Nothobranchius furzeri: one gene and its partners. The protein of the gene in region 4 interacts with the protein of the main gene of each other region in a pairwise test. Links are inferred from orthologs where the notes say so. Each region holds a gene or a part of one and is shown on either strand. Other genes may lie near its edges.

Evidence for each region. The genes of interacting proteins can lie anywhere in the genome.
Region 1: the proteins of dnajb11 (region 4) and ptn interact in a two-hybrid assay, tested with the Homo sapiens proteins (2 studies listed by BioGRID and IntAct). The link is inferred for Nothobranchius furzeri from reciprocal best matches to the Homo sapiens genes DNAJB11 and PTN.
Region 2: the proteins of dnajb11 (region 4) and ubr1 interact in a two-hybrid assay, tested with the Homo sapiens proteins (2 studies listed by BioGRID and IntAct). The link is inferred for Nothobranchius furzeri from reciprocal best matches to the Homo sapiens genes DNAJB11 and UBR1.
Region 3: the proteins of dnajb11 (region 4) and bag6 interact in a two-hybrid assay, tested with the Homo sapiens proteins (2 studies listed by BioGRID and IntAct). The link is inferred for Nothobranchius furzeri from reciprocal best matches to the Homo sapiens genes DNAJB11 and BAG6.

Annotation. Positions count from the first base shown.
Region 1 is NC_091741.1:42,191,326-42,195,444, reverse strand, and holds the start of ptn (pleiotrophin), read left to right. Parts: upstream 1-1,319; 5' UTR 1,320-1,334; coding exon 1,335-1,366; intron 1,367-4,119.
Region 2 is NC_091758.1:31,657,468-31,661,538, forward strand, and holds the start of ubr1 (E3 ubiquitin-protein ligase UBR1), read left to right. Parts: upstream 1-1,271; 5' UTR 1,272-1,334; coding exon 1,335-1,379; intron 1,380-3,915; coding exon 3,916-4,071. Other genes in the region: atxn3 (ataxin-3), read right to left, coding at 17-104, 186-252, 334-419, 501-545, 635-799, 1,179-1,202. UniProt on the Homo sapiens protein: E3 ubiquitin-protein ligase which is a component of the N-end rule pathway. Recognizes and binds proteins bearing specific N-terminal residues that are destabilizing according to the N-end rule, leading to their ubiquitination and subsequent degradation.
Region 3 is NC_091745.1:60,779,857-60,784,137, reverse strand, and holds the start of bag6 (large proline-rich protein BAG6), read right to left. Parts: upstream 2,801-4,281; 5' UTR 2,675-2,800; intron 1-2,674. Other genes in the region: glrx3 (glutaredoxin 3), read left to right, coding at 2,826-3,797. UniProt on the Homo sapiens protein: ATP-independent molecular chaperone preventing the aggregation of misfolded and hydrophobic patches-containing proteins.
Region 4 is NC_091754.1:36,589,867-36,593,836, forward strand, and holds the start of dnajb11 (dnaJ homolog subfamily B member 11), read right to left. Parts: upstream 2,806-3,970; 5' UTR 2,690-2,805; coding exon 2,616-2,689; intron 2,256-2,615; coding exon 2,099-2,255; intron 1,377-2,098; coding exon 1,279-1,376; intron 1-1,278. UniProt on the Homo sapiens protein: As a co-chaperone for HSPA5 it is required for proper folding, trafficking or degradation of proteins.

The DNA.
Region 1 (4,119 bases), on a different chromosome or scaffold from region 4:
CCTTGAAATGTTTAATTATAAGTTCAGCAAACTCAAAAAGATGTTCATAAAGCCTATTATTATCACGGTAATATAATTTGTTCCCTTTTGGTTTAAAAATCAATGCAAATCTAAGCCTTTGCATCATGTAAAGGTTTCATATTTGCACATAACGCTACAGAAAGATGTCAGAGCATTTAGCATGTCAGGAAATCTGCCATTAAAGGCACTTTTTGTGTCTGAATTTGATCTTATTAACTCTTTCACTTCCCCACAGAGAAAAGAACACACAACATTTGTAATTTTTCCCAAGTTAAAACAACAGAGGTAAAATTATAATAGCAAAATGATATTAATCTAATTCTAATCAATCAATCAATCAATCGATTTTATTTGTAGAGCACCTTCTGCAACTTTATCAGAAGCCAAATGTGCTGAACAGCATCATCATAAAAACATTCCCAGTACCTGGGCATAAAAGCAAGATAAAAACATAAAATCATAAAATAACAAGCAAGCAATATCACAAATACAGAGAGATAATGGAATAAGATTAATCAATTAAAAACAAATGGTGGACAAAATAAGATCAATCATCCTGATCAAAAAGAGGAAGTATTAAAAACCATAATGTCAGGGCATTTCAATGAACCCTAGCGCTGAAAAGCAATCAAATAAAAATGAGTCTTTAGACAAGACTTAAAGACTTGAAGGGACGGTGCCTGCCTGATGCTCAATGGCAATTCATTCCACAGAGTTGGAGCCAAAACAGAAAATACACGATAACCCCTCGATCGATATTTCGACTGGGGGACCACCAGACGTCCCTGCTCGGCTGAGCAAAGAGACCGAGATGGAGCATACTTGTGCAAAAGTGCAGTAATGTAAGAGGGGGCACTGCTCTGGAGAGCCTTATAAGCAAGAGTTAAGATATTAAATTTAGCTCGATATTCCACCGGGAGCCAGTTTAGAGTAACCAGCACTGGAGTAATGTGATCTCGGCATCTAGTACCTGTCAGGAACCTAGCCACTGAGTTCTGTACAAATTGGAGCCGTGCAACCATGCACTGGGCCAGACCAGCATACAGAGCGTTACGGTAGTCCAGACGGGACAGGACGAAAGCATGCAACACAGACTCCAGATGAGCTCTGGACAGCAGAGGCCTGATCCTGGATAGTCATTTCAGATAAAAAAAAATAAAACAGTACCTCACCACCGCATTTATGTGAATGTCAAGATTAAGTGAGGAGTCAATTTTTATCCCCAAATTACTGGCTATTTTCTTTTCATAGGGGGTCAGTGGGCCAAGGTCAAAATCAGCACCTGAGCCATTTCTTCTGCCAGGACTAAGATTATGACTTCCGTTTTGCTCTCATTTAATGTAAGGTAATGCTTCACTTTGTGTTCAAGTATTCCCTTTCATATGCATTTATGTATTATTTATAGTCTTTTTTTACATGTTCTGATAACAAACAAAGATAGCCAACAGTGCTTTACCCAAAAAGTATTTTCATGGCAACTTTATTGCAAGACCTGCTCCAAATAGCTTTTTTGTAATATTGTAAAAACTGCTGATATAAGATGATGTATTTACACCTTCACTGCAGCTACAGCTACTAAATTCCCATTTCCTTTTGTGCTGAAACAGCATAAATCATTTAAAACACCTAAATATTTGTGATGCCTGTCTTTCAGAGATGACATATTGTTTTCTTTAAAAAATAAAACTGATAAAGTGAAGCATAAGCACATCCTGTGCAAGAATCTCCCCGTTTTGACACTTTAATCTAAGAGACAAAACTATGGCGCGGTATGGGGGCCAAAATTAAGACTACTGCCCAGCAGCAGGAGGCTATATAAATTTCGAAGCAAACTACCGACCTGATTAATGATAAGCTGGCACCGGTAACTGAGAGGCTGGCGCTGCTTACTGAGAAATAGCACCTTTACTGGCGTTATTACTAGATACGCTACGGACTAGCAGCCCTCGGCTGGTCATTGACTGGTTCAAACACTCCTTTAGCGTGCCTAGGCTGGCCACTAGCTGGATTCCCTATCCCCTTGACGGACCTTAAGCATGGATAGGCTAGCTTTGCCTGGATAGGCTGGCATTAGCATCAGAGAGGCTAGCCATCAGCATGTCTCAGAGAGTCACTAGTCAGCTAGTGGCCAGCCTAGGCACGCTAATGGCTAGTCTCTCCGATGCTAACACCATCCCGTCCAGGCAAAGCTAGCATATCCATGCTAATAGACAGCAGAGGGGGTGTGTGAACCAGTCAATGACCATACCATACCATACCATATTTATTTATAAAGCACCATTTCAAAATAGCATGGCAGCTAACCAAAGTGCTGTACATAAAAAAGCCAAATGCTTGAACTAGAAGCACAATGCGAACTGGGAAAATACATAAGAACAAAGCATAAATAGTCAGAGATAAAAATTCCTGCTAAAAACAATAAAATAGGAGAACAGTTAACAGCACTATAAAAATAAAATAATGCAACGAATAATAAAAACATTTCAAATGGCACAAATAAAACAAAATAAAATACCAGATGGTACGAGGTGCCAAAAGTGAGCAACTAAATCATAAAAATGGAATTAAAAACTCAAATCCGGTGCTAGATTGTCATGAAAAGTGTCAAGGAGCAAAGGCAATGCTAAAGAAGTGCGTTTTCGGGGCCGACTTGAAACTGCGAACAGAGGGAGCCAGACACACACGGAGGGGCAAAGAGTTCCAGAGTTTTGGGGCTGCATAAGAGAAGGCACACACCTAGGCTAGCGGCACATGATTTGAGATTGAGTGGGAGAGTTGAGACATCAAAAGCACCATTCATGTTAGTGGGGCTAAAAAGTATGGCATCTGATTTGATGTCATTTAACCGTAGGCAGTTTTGAGAAAGCCAGGATCTGACCTGCGAGAGGCATTCTGACATTATAGAAAATGAGTGCTGTTGGTTGATTTGAAGGTAGATCTGGCAATCATCTGCATAAAAGTGGTAGTTAACCCAGAGACTTGCTAAAATCTTACCAAGTGGTAGTATGTAAATTGAAAAGAGGACAGGACCCAGGATGGAGCCCTGTGGTACTCCCCATGGAAGTGGGACATTGGGAGAAGGGCAGTCTCCAACATGAACACTAAAACACCGAACATTAAGGTACGACTTAAACCATTTGAGGGCAGTACTGGTCACACCCACCCAAAATTCAAGTCAGTGAAGTAGGATGGTGAGGTCTACAGTGCTGAATGCTGCAGTCAGGTGGAGTCAGGTGGAGTAAGAGTAACAGCACATGGGAGCCAGAGTCAGTTAGAATCAGGCTGTCATTGAATGCCCTAATGTGTGCAGATTCTGTGCTTTAATTACGTCTAAAACCTGATTGGAATGGGTCAAGAAGCCCATTGTCATCTAGGTGAGAACAAAGCTGCGTGAGAGCCAGTTTCTCAACTACTTTTGAGATGAATGGAAGTTTTGAGATTGGGCGATAATTGGCACAGTCAGACTGGTCAAGGCCTGGTTTCTTCAATAGCGGCTGAACAACTGCATTTTTAAAAGCAGCTGGAAACACACCAGAGGAGAAGCTGGAATTTACAATATCCAGAACAGCAGGGGCCACTGCTGGAAGGACATCGCGCAGCAGTCTTGGAGGAAGGCTATCCTCTGGAGAGCCTGAGGGCTTCATAGCCAAGATTAGATCAACCAGGGAAGAGGGTGTCACATGAGCAAAGCAAGAGAATTAGGGTGGACAGTGAGGTTCCACACAGGTAACCCAGCCTGAGTAAGAGAAACTGGTTCTAATTTCCTGAATTTTATGCAGGAAAAAGTTTTGAATCTCATTGCAAAGAGCCCCTGTAGAGGGAGAAGAGTTGGGAGATTCTCTAAGGAATGGTACAGAGGTGAGGACACTGTATAGTTTCTTCTGGTCGTTTTTATTCCTAGTGATTATATTTGCAAAATATCTGTTTCTAGCTGTGCGGACAGCTTTCTGATAGCAGGTCAAAGAATCCTTGAATAATTGGTAGGAGATTTGCAGCTTGTCCTTCCGCCACCGGCGTTCGCAGACCCTACATTGGCGTCTTAGGGCACAAGTGTCCTCAGTGAGCCAAGGGTCTGCTACAGTTTTTTTGTGCCTGGAT
Region 2 (4,071 bases), on a different chromosome or scaffold from region 4:
CAGTTTCTGATGCTACCTTCTTGTTGTAGCTGTGCAAGGAAAAGTGCTAAATATGTGTCTGATATCAACTCTGGTCCTGTCAACAGTGAATTCAGGTTAAACCACTGCAAAGGAAACAGAGAATTTTAGTGAATCAAGCTGCTATAAGACAAGTATGACTAGGTAAGTGAGTGAGTGCCACACACCTGTTGTCCAAGTTTGCGTATAGTAAACCAGTGCTCCTTATAATTGCAAATGAAGGCTTTCTCATTTCTGAAACACAAAGTAAGCATCAGCTTAAAGAAATGAGAGATCAGGATCTTCTATCATAATGTTTCCACATTAAAACCTTACACTGGGTTTATCATTAGGCTCTGGTACTCTCGACTATTAAAGAGGAGTAGCTCCAAGCCCCAGACTCGAAGAGCATTGCTAATCACCTTGAAAATATTGAAACAAGAGTGATATTACAGAAGAGGACATGGATTTTAGAAGCAATAAAAAGATAATTGTAAACTCACTTGTATTGAAAAGAACCCACTATCATCCATGTTCCCAGAGGGTTGCTTTAAACACATTTTCGAAAGAAAAACATGAATAAAATTACATTTTTGATAACATTTTGTACCAATATGTACCCTCTGTCTCATAACACCTGTAAAAAGGTCCTGTACTCCTCACTAGCCATTCCCCCCTCTGCCATCCTCATCCTCTCCTCTTCATCAAGCTGATGAGCGATAGAGGACAGGTCCACAGGAGTGAAATACTCGCCCTGCAGAAGGTTGTTGAGGCAGTGCTGGGCACAGAGGGAGCCCTCTTGCTGCAAACAAAGGATCAGGAATGTAACAAGCATCCAGCATCAGCTGGACTTCTGGAATAAAGATGCTCAACCAAAACAAACACATGTAGCAGCTAGCCCAACGAGGACCCAGCCAAGCAGAGAGCGATTAACTAACAAGAAAACAAAACCCCTACATGACGCCAGGAATAGTTATCATGTTAAAAATCTAACTTTTCACATTCTCTGACTAGCAAGTGAATTAGCGTATTAGCAGTTTGTACAACAACTCCATCACAAACGCCTCGATAGCGGCTACTTAACTGGTAAAACTATTCAGCAGATCGAGCACCGACACCGCTTAATCAAAAATCAGTAAATATAATCAGGTAAATTCGTGTTATAAAATGTTTAAACCTACTTTCTCATGAAATATGGAGTCCATATTCAGCTTTCTGTCAAACGTTCAACTCTCTAACCCCCGCCCCTCACTCGCCCTATCGAGAGGAGACGCCCCCTAGCGGGCGGGCGTGCGCGCGGCACAGTGCTGGACGCCTCTACTTACGGCAAATGGAATATGGCGGACAGTGAGAATTCCATGAACAGGCTGGAGCTGAGTCAGGTATGATGTTCTCTCAGCTAATTCCGTTGACAGCGCTTTCTGAGAGTTTGTGGCAAAACGACGGAGTTTAAAATAAAAAAAAAATCATGTGTAATAAGGTTTTACTGCATTATGGTAGAAGGTTGTTCTTGCCAGGCTAATAATAGTCGTAGCCGCCAAGGCTAACTAGCATTAGAGAGGCATCACGCTGTTTATTACGGATAAACCGACTTTATTTTTACTTCTTTTCGGGATAAATTTAGTCTTTTTCCATGAGAAATGATGTAAGTGTTTGTCTTTCCCCTCTGTGCTTACACATGACATTTAAAATGCTTAGCCTGAGGTCCTGAATGCCTTTTCCGTTTATTTACAGTGAAAGTAAACTAGTCTACTGTTACTGTGTTGTTATTCATATTTAGGTTTACCTGTTCAGATATTTTCGCCTCCCAAACACCAACATAATCACGCATTTTTAAACGTCCTAATGTAGTTACAGCCTTTGTGTTTTATTATTGAGAAATCCGTCTAATGTGGTTTTTGTTTTAGTTTCGTATAAAATAAATTATTTCAGTTTTATTTTCAAAACCGAAATATAATTTTTGTATAATTTTACTTGCTTCATCCAATCCATTGTATTATTTTCAAGGTGTTCAGTTGGTACACAAAAACATATTTGTTCTGATGATGCATATTTATGTAAGTGAACCTAAACAGACTCCTGGCGTGGATGTACCATACACTCACCAGTTTGTTTAGCAGGTAAACCAGTTCAGATGCTTATTAACACAAACAGCCAATCAGGTGGTAGCATTTAGACATGTGGACATGATGAAGTTTTGTCTGATTATCTGGGGAAGAAAGGGGATTTCAGTGGTAATGAATGTGGTTTTGTGCTGGTGCCAGGCAGGCTGGTCTGAGTGTTGCAGTTTTCATCATGATATTAGCAAAAGGTTGCATCTCAACTTCAGCTGCAACATTCATAAATGTTAGGTTAGACTTTGATGTTAACAACTTGAAAACATGGATCCATCTTAACGGTTCAGGCTGCTGGTGGTGATGTAATGGTCTGGGCCCGTACCTGATTATTGTTGGCGATAGTGTCCATACTTGTGTTTCCACACTGGACCCATGCTCTGACGGCTACATCCAGCAGGATAATACTACAAAGCTCTAATCATCTCAAAATGATGTTTTATTCAAGCCGCTACAGTCACTACATCTGAATCGAATTAATCACATTTTAGAAGAGGAGACTCACATCACATGTTTTCAGGTGACAGATCTGCATGAACTGCTTGATAATCCTATTATCTAAATATAGACCAACATCTTTGTATTAGGTTTCCAGTGACAAAAGGCAGTTTTGAAGCAAAGGTTTACTAAGGTGTAGGGATGTCCCGTTCCGATATCGATATCGGCCCAAAAACAATGTATCGGATTATATCGAACGGCATTAAAAATCTCTGATGTAAGCGGTCTGTTAAGGTTCACATTTTCGCAACCAACTGTTCATACTTAATGTTATTGGCTCTTGTTCTCCGATTGAGTAAAATCACTTGATCAAGCCTTTCATACATTGCACACTAGGAAATAAGTAAAAATATGTATGATTTGTGCTGATATCGTATCGGATTGATATCGGTATCGGTCAACACTGAAGACTGCAATATTGGTATTCAGAAGTGGAAAAAGTTGTATCGGGACATCCCTACTAAGGTGTACCTAATAAATTGGCTGGCAGATGTATATTTGTTGTACTAAATGTCACATGATGCGATTGAGCCTAGATTAAATAAAAATATCAGATTGTTGTGGAATTTAGATATAGTCGATTTACTTCTTTGTTTTTGCTACATACTTCTCTATGTAGTAAAAGGATGCGTATATAAGCGTTTCACTGCCAGAACTGGTTATCTTGTTTTCTATTGATTTTTTTATTCATCCCAGGAATTTACATGGTTTTCTCTCATTATATTAGTCCTATTAGGCCTATAATGGACTGGAAGGGTTCTCCCAGGAAGGATTATCCATCAGCGTTGGTATAGTCAATGCGCAATGTTTTATTACGTTTCTACAGATTCATCAGCTGTTCACTGGCTTTGCTCTTGGCTCCCTTTAGATGTTAGACACCAGAGTTCAGCCCAGTTGCCGCTGTCAGAGTAAAGATGCATGACTCATTCTTGCCTCATTACAAAAAGTTGCTGGAAACCAAAGTTTTTCACTTTGCTGCATTATTTTTGCACGTTTAATTAAATCAGTTAAGTTTAAAATTCACCTGAGACCTGCATAAAATAACTCAATGATGAGGATTTAAAAAATATATATAATGTAAATGAATACACATATTTTTATGTTAATTACAATTAAATTAATGTTGTTATTCTTAAAAATCGAAGGCACGTTCATTCAGTGACCAGATTAACAAAAACTCTCCAGTCTAAATAATTCAGATTATTTAACTGAACAGTAAGATGTTTTATTGCAGGTGTTTTTTGTTTTTTTTTTGCCAGTGGTGGTCAGATCCCACATCGTTTCCTCCTCTGTTGTCTTCTCTAAGGGATGGCTGGAAGCTGCAGACTGCAGAGCCGAACTGCTCCGCCACCTGAAGGAGCAGGTACCGCAGATCTTCTGTCTGAAGAAGGAGCCCTGCCTCCAGGAGGAAGAGGAGCTCGCCCAGAGCCGCCTCCTTTACCCTTTCGAGTGTTTCCTGTTC
Region 3 (4,281 bases), on a different chromosome or scaffold from region 4:
TCTCCTGACACAATGGAGAGTAAATCTGGCAATCGTCAGCATACAGATGGAATGATAGGCCATGTTTACGAAAGATTGACCCCAGAGGTAGCAGATAAATGGCAAACAAAAGTGGACCAAGGATCGACCCCTGCGGGACCCCCCACCGGAGCCCCTCCCAAGAAGAAAAAACATCACCCAGTTTAACACAGAATGTCCTGTTTTGGAGATACGATCTAAACCAGTCCAGAGCTGACCCTTTGATCCCAACCCATCGTTCCAAGCGATCGAGTAGAATCGCGTGGTCAACTGTGTCGAAGGCTGCTGTCAGGTCTAATAACAGAAGCAGCACAGATGTTCCCTGATCTAGTGATAGATAGATGTCATTTAGGACCCTCAGTAGAGCAGACTCTGTGCTATGGCCAGACCTGAACCCTGATTGGAAAACCTCAAACAGATCAGAGTCAGCTAAATGTGAGACCAGCTGCTGATAAACGACTTTCTCAAGCAGTTTAGATGTAAAGGGCAGGGTAGAGATAGGCCTGTAATTTTCTATCACAGAGACATCAGCACCAGGTTTCTTCAGGGTCGGCCGAATAACTGCTGCTTTCAAAGCAGCTGGGACCACACCTGTGCTGAGGCTCCCATTGATAATCTGACCAAGTGAAGGGCCAAGGCACGGAAAGGCAGCCTTCCAGAGACGAGGCGGTAGAACATCAAGTGGAGAGCCAGATGGCTTCTGCCTCGCAACTGGCTTACTCAGCTCGGAGTATGAAACAGTATTGAGGGAGCTCAGGGTGGGTGGTAATGTAGGAACTGGAACAGGGTCAATTGTTCCTAAGATGTGACAGTTGATCTTGCAGGGATCTCAAAATTAAATTTAAGACTTTTTAAGACCTTCTAAATATAAAAATTATCGCAATGAACTAATCAACTGTTAAACACTCATTGTTTTGAAATACTGCATTGCTTTGTTTTTCACTTAATCAACTGGCAGGTTATGCCACATCTGGGATAGCAAAGCTGTAGCAATGGTACGTAAAGCCACATGGTACAAAAACACAAGCAAATAGCTGGTATAGAAGAACAAAAAATAATTGTATTAGTTGCATCTATTTTCTCATACCTGCAAACTCAGAAGCTGAGAAAAAGGTGACAACTAAAATCACCCCACCCCCTCAAACATGGTCCTTGCATGCTGCAGATTTGCATCTATTCTACAGTGGGTTTGGTGGTGACCTCTGACATTTACATACTTTTATTTCATTAAGAATATATGTTTTTAAATATTTAATGTGATTTCTTTGCAAAATGCAAGCAATGTTCTACCAGTCGTACTGTTCAAATGAGCTAAGAAATATAATAAACTTTAAATAAAAAACTTAGGTTTTGTGTGAAAATAAGGACTACAGTATTGGGGCAGCAGTAGCTCCACAGGTTGAGTGGGTTGTCCAGTAATCGGAAGGTTGCAGGTTCGATCCCGGCTCCAACAGAGAATTCCTTGGGCAAGACACTTAACCCACCTTGCCTGCTGGTGGTGGTCAGAAGGACCGGTGACGCCTGTGCTTGGCAGCCTCGCCTCTGTCAGTGCAAACCCCCCCCCCCCCCCCAGGGCAGCTGTGGCTACATTGTAGCTCATCACCATCATTGTGTGAATGTGTGTGAATGGATGAATGATACACTGTAGTGTAAAGCGCTTTGGAGTCCATACTCTGAGAGGTGCTATACAAGTGCGGGTCATTTATCATTTACAATGCGCTTCACGAAAGTGACGTCATCAAACCAGCCACGGAGAAAAACAGAAATGGCTGTAAGTTTAGCCAACTTAAAATCCTTCCTTCGGGAGGAAAAAAAAACACCATAAATCTGGCCATTTTGTAAATAGCAGCTATTCTAGATGAGAAGAGATTCTGTGGTAACGTCATATACTGTATGTGACGTGCTGATGTCTAATTTGTAGTTATGCTAATTACAAACTTTTACAAGCTGATAAATCTCAAAGTATGTCACTTGCATGGTCCAAACACCCATTATTAGTTTTCGTTTAAATTGCAGTGCAACATATGTGTGACACTGGGCCTAAGGCAAAGCGGATTAGAAAATAGCTCTTTTAGCCGCATTGAGTTGCATTCATTTTTTCGTTTTTCCGGGAACCCATGAGCTGACCGGAAAGGGATGAGACTTCTCCCTACTGCTACGGTTGGTCTGGATTTCTAGGCTAAAAAACACCCCATTTTAAAAATTTTACGGAGAGTTTTTGTTGCGTCACTAAAATATTACAAGCTGAGCATAAAGTTAGAAAAATTCACATGTGAATACAGAAATTTGTTTTACAGTCTGTTCAATTAATATTTTAAGTCATGTACAGATGTTTACCAACAACCTAAAAGGCTAACGGTAGCCCCTTAGCAACCGAAGCTACATCCCGACAACTAGACACCAGAACAACGTAGCTCTTGCACTAAATTCCTCTTGCATTTTAATCCCGACTAAACAAACAACACGTCTAACGTTTAGCAGTAGTGAGTTACTACTAAGAGCCAATAAACCTGGAAATATCTGAGTTTCAACCATCGGCATATATACGGCTAACTGGTCAAATGGCTAAGCTCGTGCTAAAGCAACTGAGCGTAACAAGAAAAGAAAAACATTTGGAAAGTTGGATTTACAAAACGATGTTTCATTTAATGCTTACTTTGTCGTTGCAACTTATCCGGGACGCGCAGCTGGTTTTTATCTCCCGGTAACAGAAAACTTTCCGGTAGTTCTTACCTCCGGTTCGTGCTACTAGGCTACACGGAAGTGACGTCAGATCGGCAGCGGAAAAAGCTCAAGGAGAAGAAAAGATGGCGAATCTCGTGGAAGCGACAAGTCAACAACAGTTTGAGGATATCCTCTCTAAAGCTGGAAAACGACTGACCGTGGTCCACTTCTACGCTCCATGGGCTCCTCAGTGCGGCCAGATGAACGAGGTGATGACCGTGCTGGCCAAGGAGCACGCGCACACCACGTTCGTGAAGCTAGAAGCGGAGACGCTCCCGGAGGTTTCGGAGAAGTATGAAATCTCCTCGGTGCCAACGGTCGTTTTCTTTAAGGCGGGAGAGAAAGTGGACCGACTGGACGGGGCGCATGCGGCGGAGTTGACCAAGATGGTTCAAAGGTTGGCGGTGGCCGGGAGCCCGAATGAGTCATCGGGAGGAGAGGACCTGAACCAGCGGCTAAAGAAGCTGATTAACGCGGCCCCCTGCATGCTGTTCATGAAGGGCGCCCCACAGGAGCCCCGCTGCGGCTTCAGCCGGCAGATAGTGGCGCTGCTGAAGGAGCACAGCATCCAGTTCAGCAGTTTCGACATCCTGTCCGATGAAGAGGTCCGGCAGGGCCTGAAGACCTACTCCAACTGGCCCACATACCCGCAGCTGTACGTGAACGGGGAGCTAGTGGGGGGACTGGACATCGTGAAGGAGCTGGCGGAGTCAGGGGAGCTGGAGAACGCCTGCCCCAAGGCCGTGAACTTGGATCACCGTCTGAAGACCATCATCAACCAGAGTCCAGTAATGCTGTTCATGAAGGGCAACAAGGAGGCTGCAAAGTGCGGCTTCAGCAGGCAGATCCTGGAGATTTTAAACGCCTCTGGGGTGGACTATGACACCTTTGATATCCTGCAGGATGAAGAGGTCCGTCAGGGGCTCAAGACTTACTCCAACTGGCCCACTTATCCCCAGCTGTATGTGAAAGGGGAGCTGATCGGAGGCTTGGACATAGTCAAGGAGCTGAAGGAGAGCGGGGAGCTGGCAGCAGTGCTGAAGGGGGAGTCGTAGATGGATCCAGACAGGAACAGGCAGCATCTTATCTAAAGAGGGGTCAGGAAGGGACACAAACAAACAAAACATCACTATCAGATTAGAACATGGAGCTGCAGAGAATAAAAATCACTCTTGGTTTTTATTTTGATTGTTGTAGTTTAGCTCATTCATGAAAGTCACGTGTCAGGAACAATTTGTTGATTAAATAAAACTGGGAACCGCTGACTCTAGGTCAGATTTTCCTCTTCTGTTTTCTTATCCTCATTCTTCAGATATGTTTGGGTTAAAAGTGTTTCCTCTGTTATGGCACCTGTTCCACGAAAACATGAGTAAATAAAAAAAAACATCAAGATGCTTCCTTTTGCTTTTCTCAATCATTTAACAAATTAAATGTAGAAGAAAGTTCCGTCTTTTCAGTTTCCTTGAGAAATAAAACAAACTTAGAACATAGATCGGCTAAGAATTTTTCATGAGGAGAAGCTACATGTTGAAGATAAAC
Region 4 (3,970 bases):
CATAATATGGAAATTGTTAAAACAGAATCACTTGCTGAGTGATTCAGTTAGTTTTTGAGCCGAACTCCGGACTGGCCACCGGAGGAAAACTCCCTAACCACCGCATCTCTTGACAAGCTGTCAAACCTGTTGCACGCTGCAGCGACACAGAACCTTGCTCCTTCGGAACAAAGCTGACACAGCCAAGACTCCTTCAGAGTCCATCGTTCCATAGACGCAAACAACTACCTGTTGTGATCAGGGAGACGACTCTGGACCGACCTGGTCGTACTGCGGTTTTTTTCTACGAACTTCGTAATCTTTTCTTGTTCGGGTGTTTGGCTTTGAACGCAGGGACCTCCAGCTGCGCTACCTTTGGCGGTCACGGTTCTGAACTTATCCAGTCGAATATGCTTGAGGTACCGATGTCTCCCATCTGGAGCTGCTTCATCGGATTGCTACCTGCATGGATGGGCGGCCTATACTCCCATCAGGTTTGGTCTGAAGTATGCCTTCAACATTTTTACTAAAATTCTAATAATTTAATGAGAAATGAGAGAAAGGGTTAGGTGAAGTCACTAAGGGAAGGCCGATGCACATCAGGTGTCTTTGATCAAGAGTTAAAAAGACAACTTCCCTTCTGAACATGGGTGTTGTGGGTGCCCTCCTATGTGTCCTCTGATCCTGAGTGGTTTTAAAACCAGGCAGTGCCAGGATTTTCTAAAGAACACCTGGTTTTGGGGATTAGCTTGCTTTCTGGCACAGCGCCCTGATCTGTATGTCCCAGATGACAGAGAATCCCCCAAAACAAAAGCATCTTGTCCAGTTTCCAGGTAAAATGTAAGCTTTAGAACATGCTGGGCTTGTCTTTCAGGAGTGCTGGGTTTCCTACATGAACCCTCAGGTGTTGGAAATGTATCTGAAGATATGTTTTCAATGAAGATCTACTTCTAGAGTTCTCTCAATACAGACACAAGTCACTGTGACCATTAATCTAAATATTATAAATAATGCTTGTTAGTATTTGTCTGCCTTTTCAGGTCTGTGTTGAGAGGGTAGCAGCTCCAGGATGTCTGTCCTCCAACACCGTAGCCAGTGGGACCCCAAGGTGTTCCCTGGGCAGCCTGGCGATGTGATCTCTCCAGGTAGTTCTGGGTTTACGCAGATTATCGTTTTATTTGTACAGAAAATAATCTTCATTTTAAACAGTTTGCTGCTTGTAAGTTACCAAGGTCAGTTCTTGTATCTTTATTGTTCTACCAAACAAGATAACAACAAGACACCCAAACCAACACTAACCTGGAGAAGATGTCATTGTGAGAGCTATGGTGGCCTTCCTTGAGTCCGTCTTCTCCATACATATCATACTGTTTCCTCTTTTCTTCATCTGAGAGGACCTACACACACACACACACACACACACACACACACACACACACACACACACACACACACACACACACACACACACACACACACACACACACACACACACACACTTTCTTCATACAACGTGTGGGGCATTTATTGGTAATCTTTCAAAGTTCCCTAGTGTTCAGTCACCACTGTCACACTTAGAGTTTAAAACATTTTGTGTATTAAATTAAACAATTTAAGAAAAAACTGAAAAATGGTCACCGTTATTAAGATGACAGATGAAATAATTAGGACAAACCCGTTATAGATTCATTTCCCAGGCTGCAAAGATATTACTGAATTGGGATTTTTACACTCATAAATCAGAACACGTCTGAAAGCTAAAAAAGGTGAAAACAGTCAATTTGGAAATAAAACCTTGCGCCGGAAACACCTGCAAAACCCTTTCAGAACGCCACCCCCACTTTTCCACGTATGCCTTTCCGCCATGCTCCAGCCAATCAGAAGCAGCCACACGGTCCAGTCGACCAATCACCGAGCTCGTAGCGTTTCCAACAACAACCAAGTAGCAAAGCTTACAAAAGTCTCACAATGGAGCCCACCGGCACTTCTGGGGATCCAGTGTAAGATCTCCAATATCCCTGTTATTGTGTGACTATGACATGTTTACAGCCGAGACGGGCTCGCTGCGCCCCTCTTGTCATGTCACTGACATCAGACATTACAACCGACTCTGGCCCACCTCATAAGCTGCTCCTAAATCCGCAAATTTGTCCTGAGCTTTGGGGTCGTCCTGGTTCCTGTCGGGGTGCAGCTGCAGAGCCAGCTTCCTGTAGGCCTTCTTAATGTCTCTTATTGATGCCGTCTTGCTCACCCCCAAAATCTTATAGAAATCTCGACTAGATCAGATGGAGAGAAAAAAAAACATAGCAGCATGTTCAGTATCACAGACATGTAGACATTATAAACAAAGCTGCTAGTTTAAGAGTTTGTCCCGACTGACAGCAGCTAGCTACACACCGGGAGAAGCCGGTTCGGTCTCACTCCTGTTAGCCTACAGCTAACTAATCAAACTAGCTTAAAAGAGGCCAGTTAGAGTCATACGGGTTGGTAATGGCGAATATATCGCTTTGATGGTAAACGACTAAATGCCGCTTAAGTAGTTAGTTGAGAGCGTCAGTCAGCTCCACACATGGAGGACGGTTAGACCAATCACAGAGGAACATGTGTACCAGCTGCTCATCGCAGCTCTCACTTACCCGGCGAGCACCGCCGTGGCGACATAAAGAAGCAAGCAGCACACGTTACACAGGTTCATGCCCTTTTTAGCCATATATCCGGAGGTTAGTGAAGGACCAGATAGAGAAGACGCAACCCGGCTTTCGTAGAAACCCACTGCCAGTCACTAACCCTCTTCTTCCTGTCAGAGAGAGCCCTCCTACGGCGAGAGGGCGGGCCTCCTCTCCGGCAACTCCGCCCCGCCTTAAAGGCGCACCGCCCGCCCGGTGTCGGTCCAGGATCAATAATGCCTGGCCATCAATAAAGTTATTCTCTAAATCATCCGGACTTTCACTCAACCTACATAAATGTGAACTGCTACCAGTTAAAAATTGTTCTGCAACTTCAATCCATGGAATACCTGTAAAAAAAACTCTGTAAGATACCTTGGAATTCAAATAATAAAAAATGAGCAATCCAGATGCTCCAAGAACTTTACTCCTATTATAGACAAAACCCAAAAGATCTTTAATTGTTGGCTACAGCGAGACCTATCAAAAGGAAGAGTTCTGATTTCAAAAGCTGTGGGTATCTCCCGTCTAACCTATGCTGCACAGTCACTACACGTTGATAATACAACTTGTAAATCAATTAGCAAATTGTTATACAATTTCTTATGGAAAAATAAAACCCACTACTTACGTAAATCAGTAGCTTTAAATCCATATGATAAAGGAGGTTTAAGCTTTATTGATTTCGGTGCTCTTAACGACACCTTTAAAATAAACTGGATTTAAAAGTATTCAAAAAATCCCACTTCTATCTGGAATTTTATCTCACATCATGTGTTTTCTAATTCAGGTGGTCTTAACTTCCTACTGCTCTGCAGTTACAGTATTCCAAAAATACCACTAAAACTTTCTCACTTCCATCAACAAATTCTTTTGGCGTGGGCACTGATTTACAAACACAACTCCTCCCCGCAAAACTGTTTTATTTGGAATAACTGCAATATTATTTATAAAAATAAAACAATTTTTTAAATAACTGGTTTAATAATGGAACCATCTTGGTTAGCCAGTTATTTGATGAAAAGGGGCTCTTATACAATTACTCTGAATTCCTTAGGAAATACAATATACCAATAACGCCCAGAGAATTCTCAATAGTGTTTGATGCCATCCCATCCGGTCTGTCCATGTTGTTCAGATGCTCCCACAGCGCTCCACTATCAGTCAGTCGCCCGGATGTGTTACATTCTTCTCTTGGCAGTGTTTGTTTTTCCTCTCGTTGGTGAATAACAAAATAAGAACTCTCTTTCAGGATACAATGACTTCTGTTCCATCGACCATATCTTATTGGGCTAATTTTGTAACAGATATTGAATGGAAAAAAG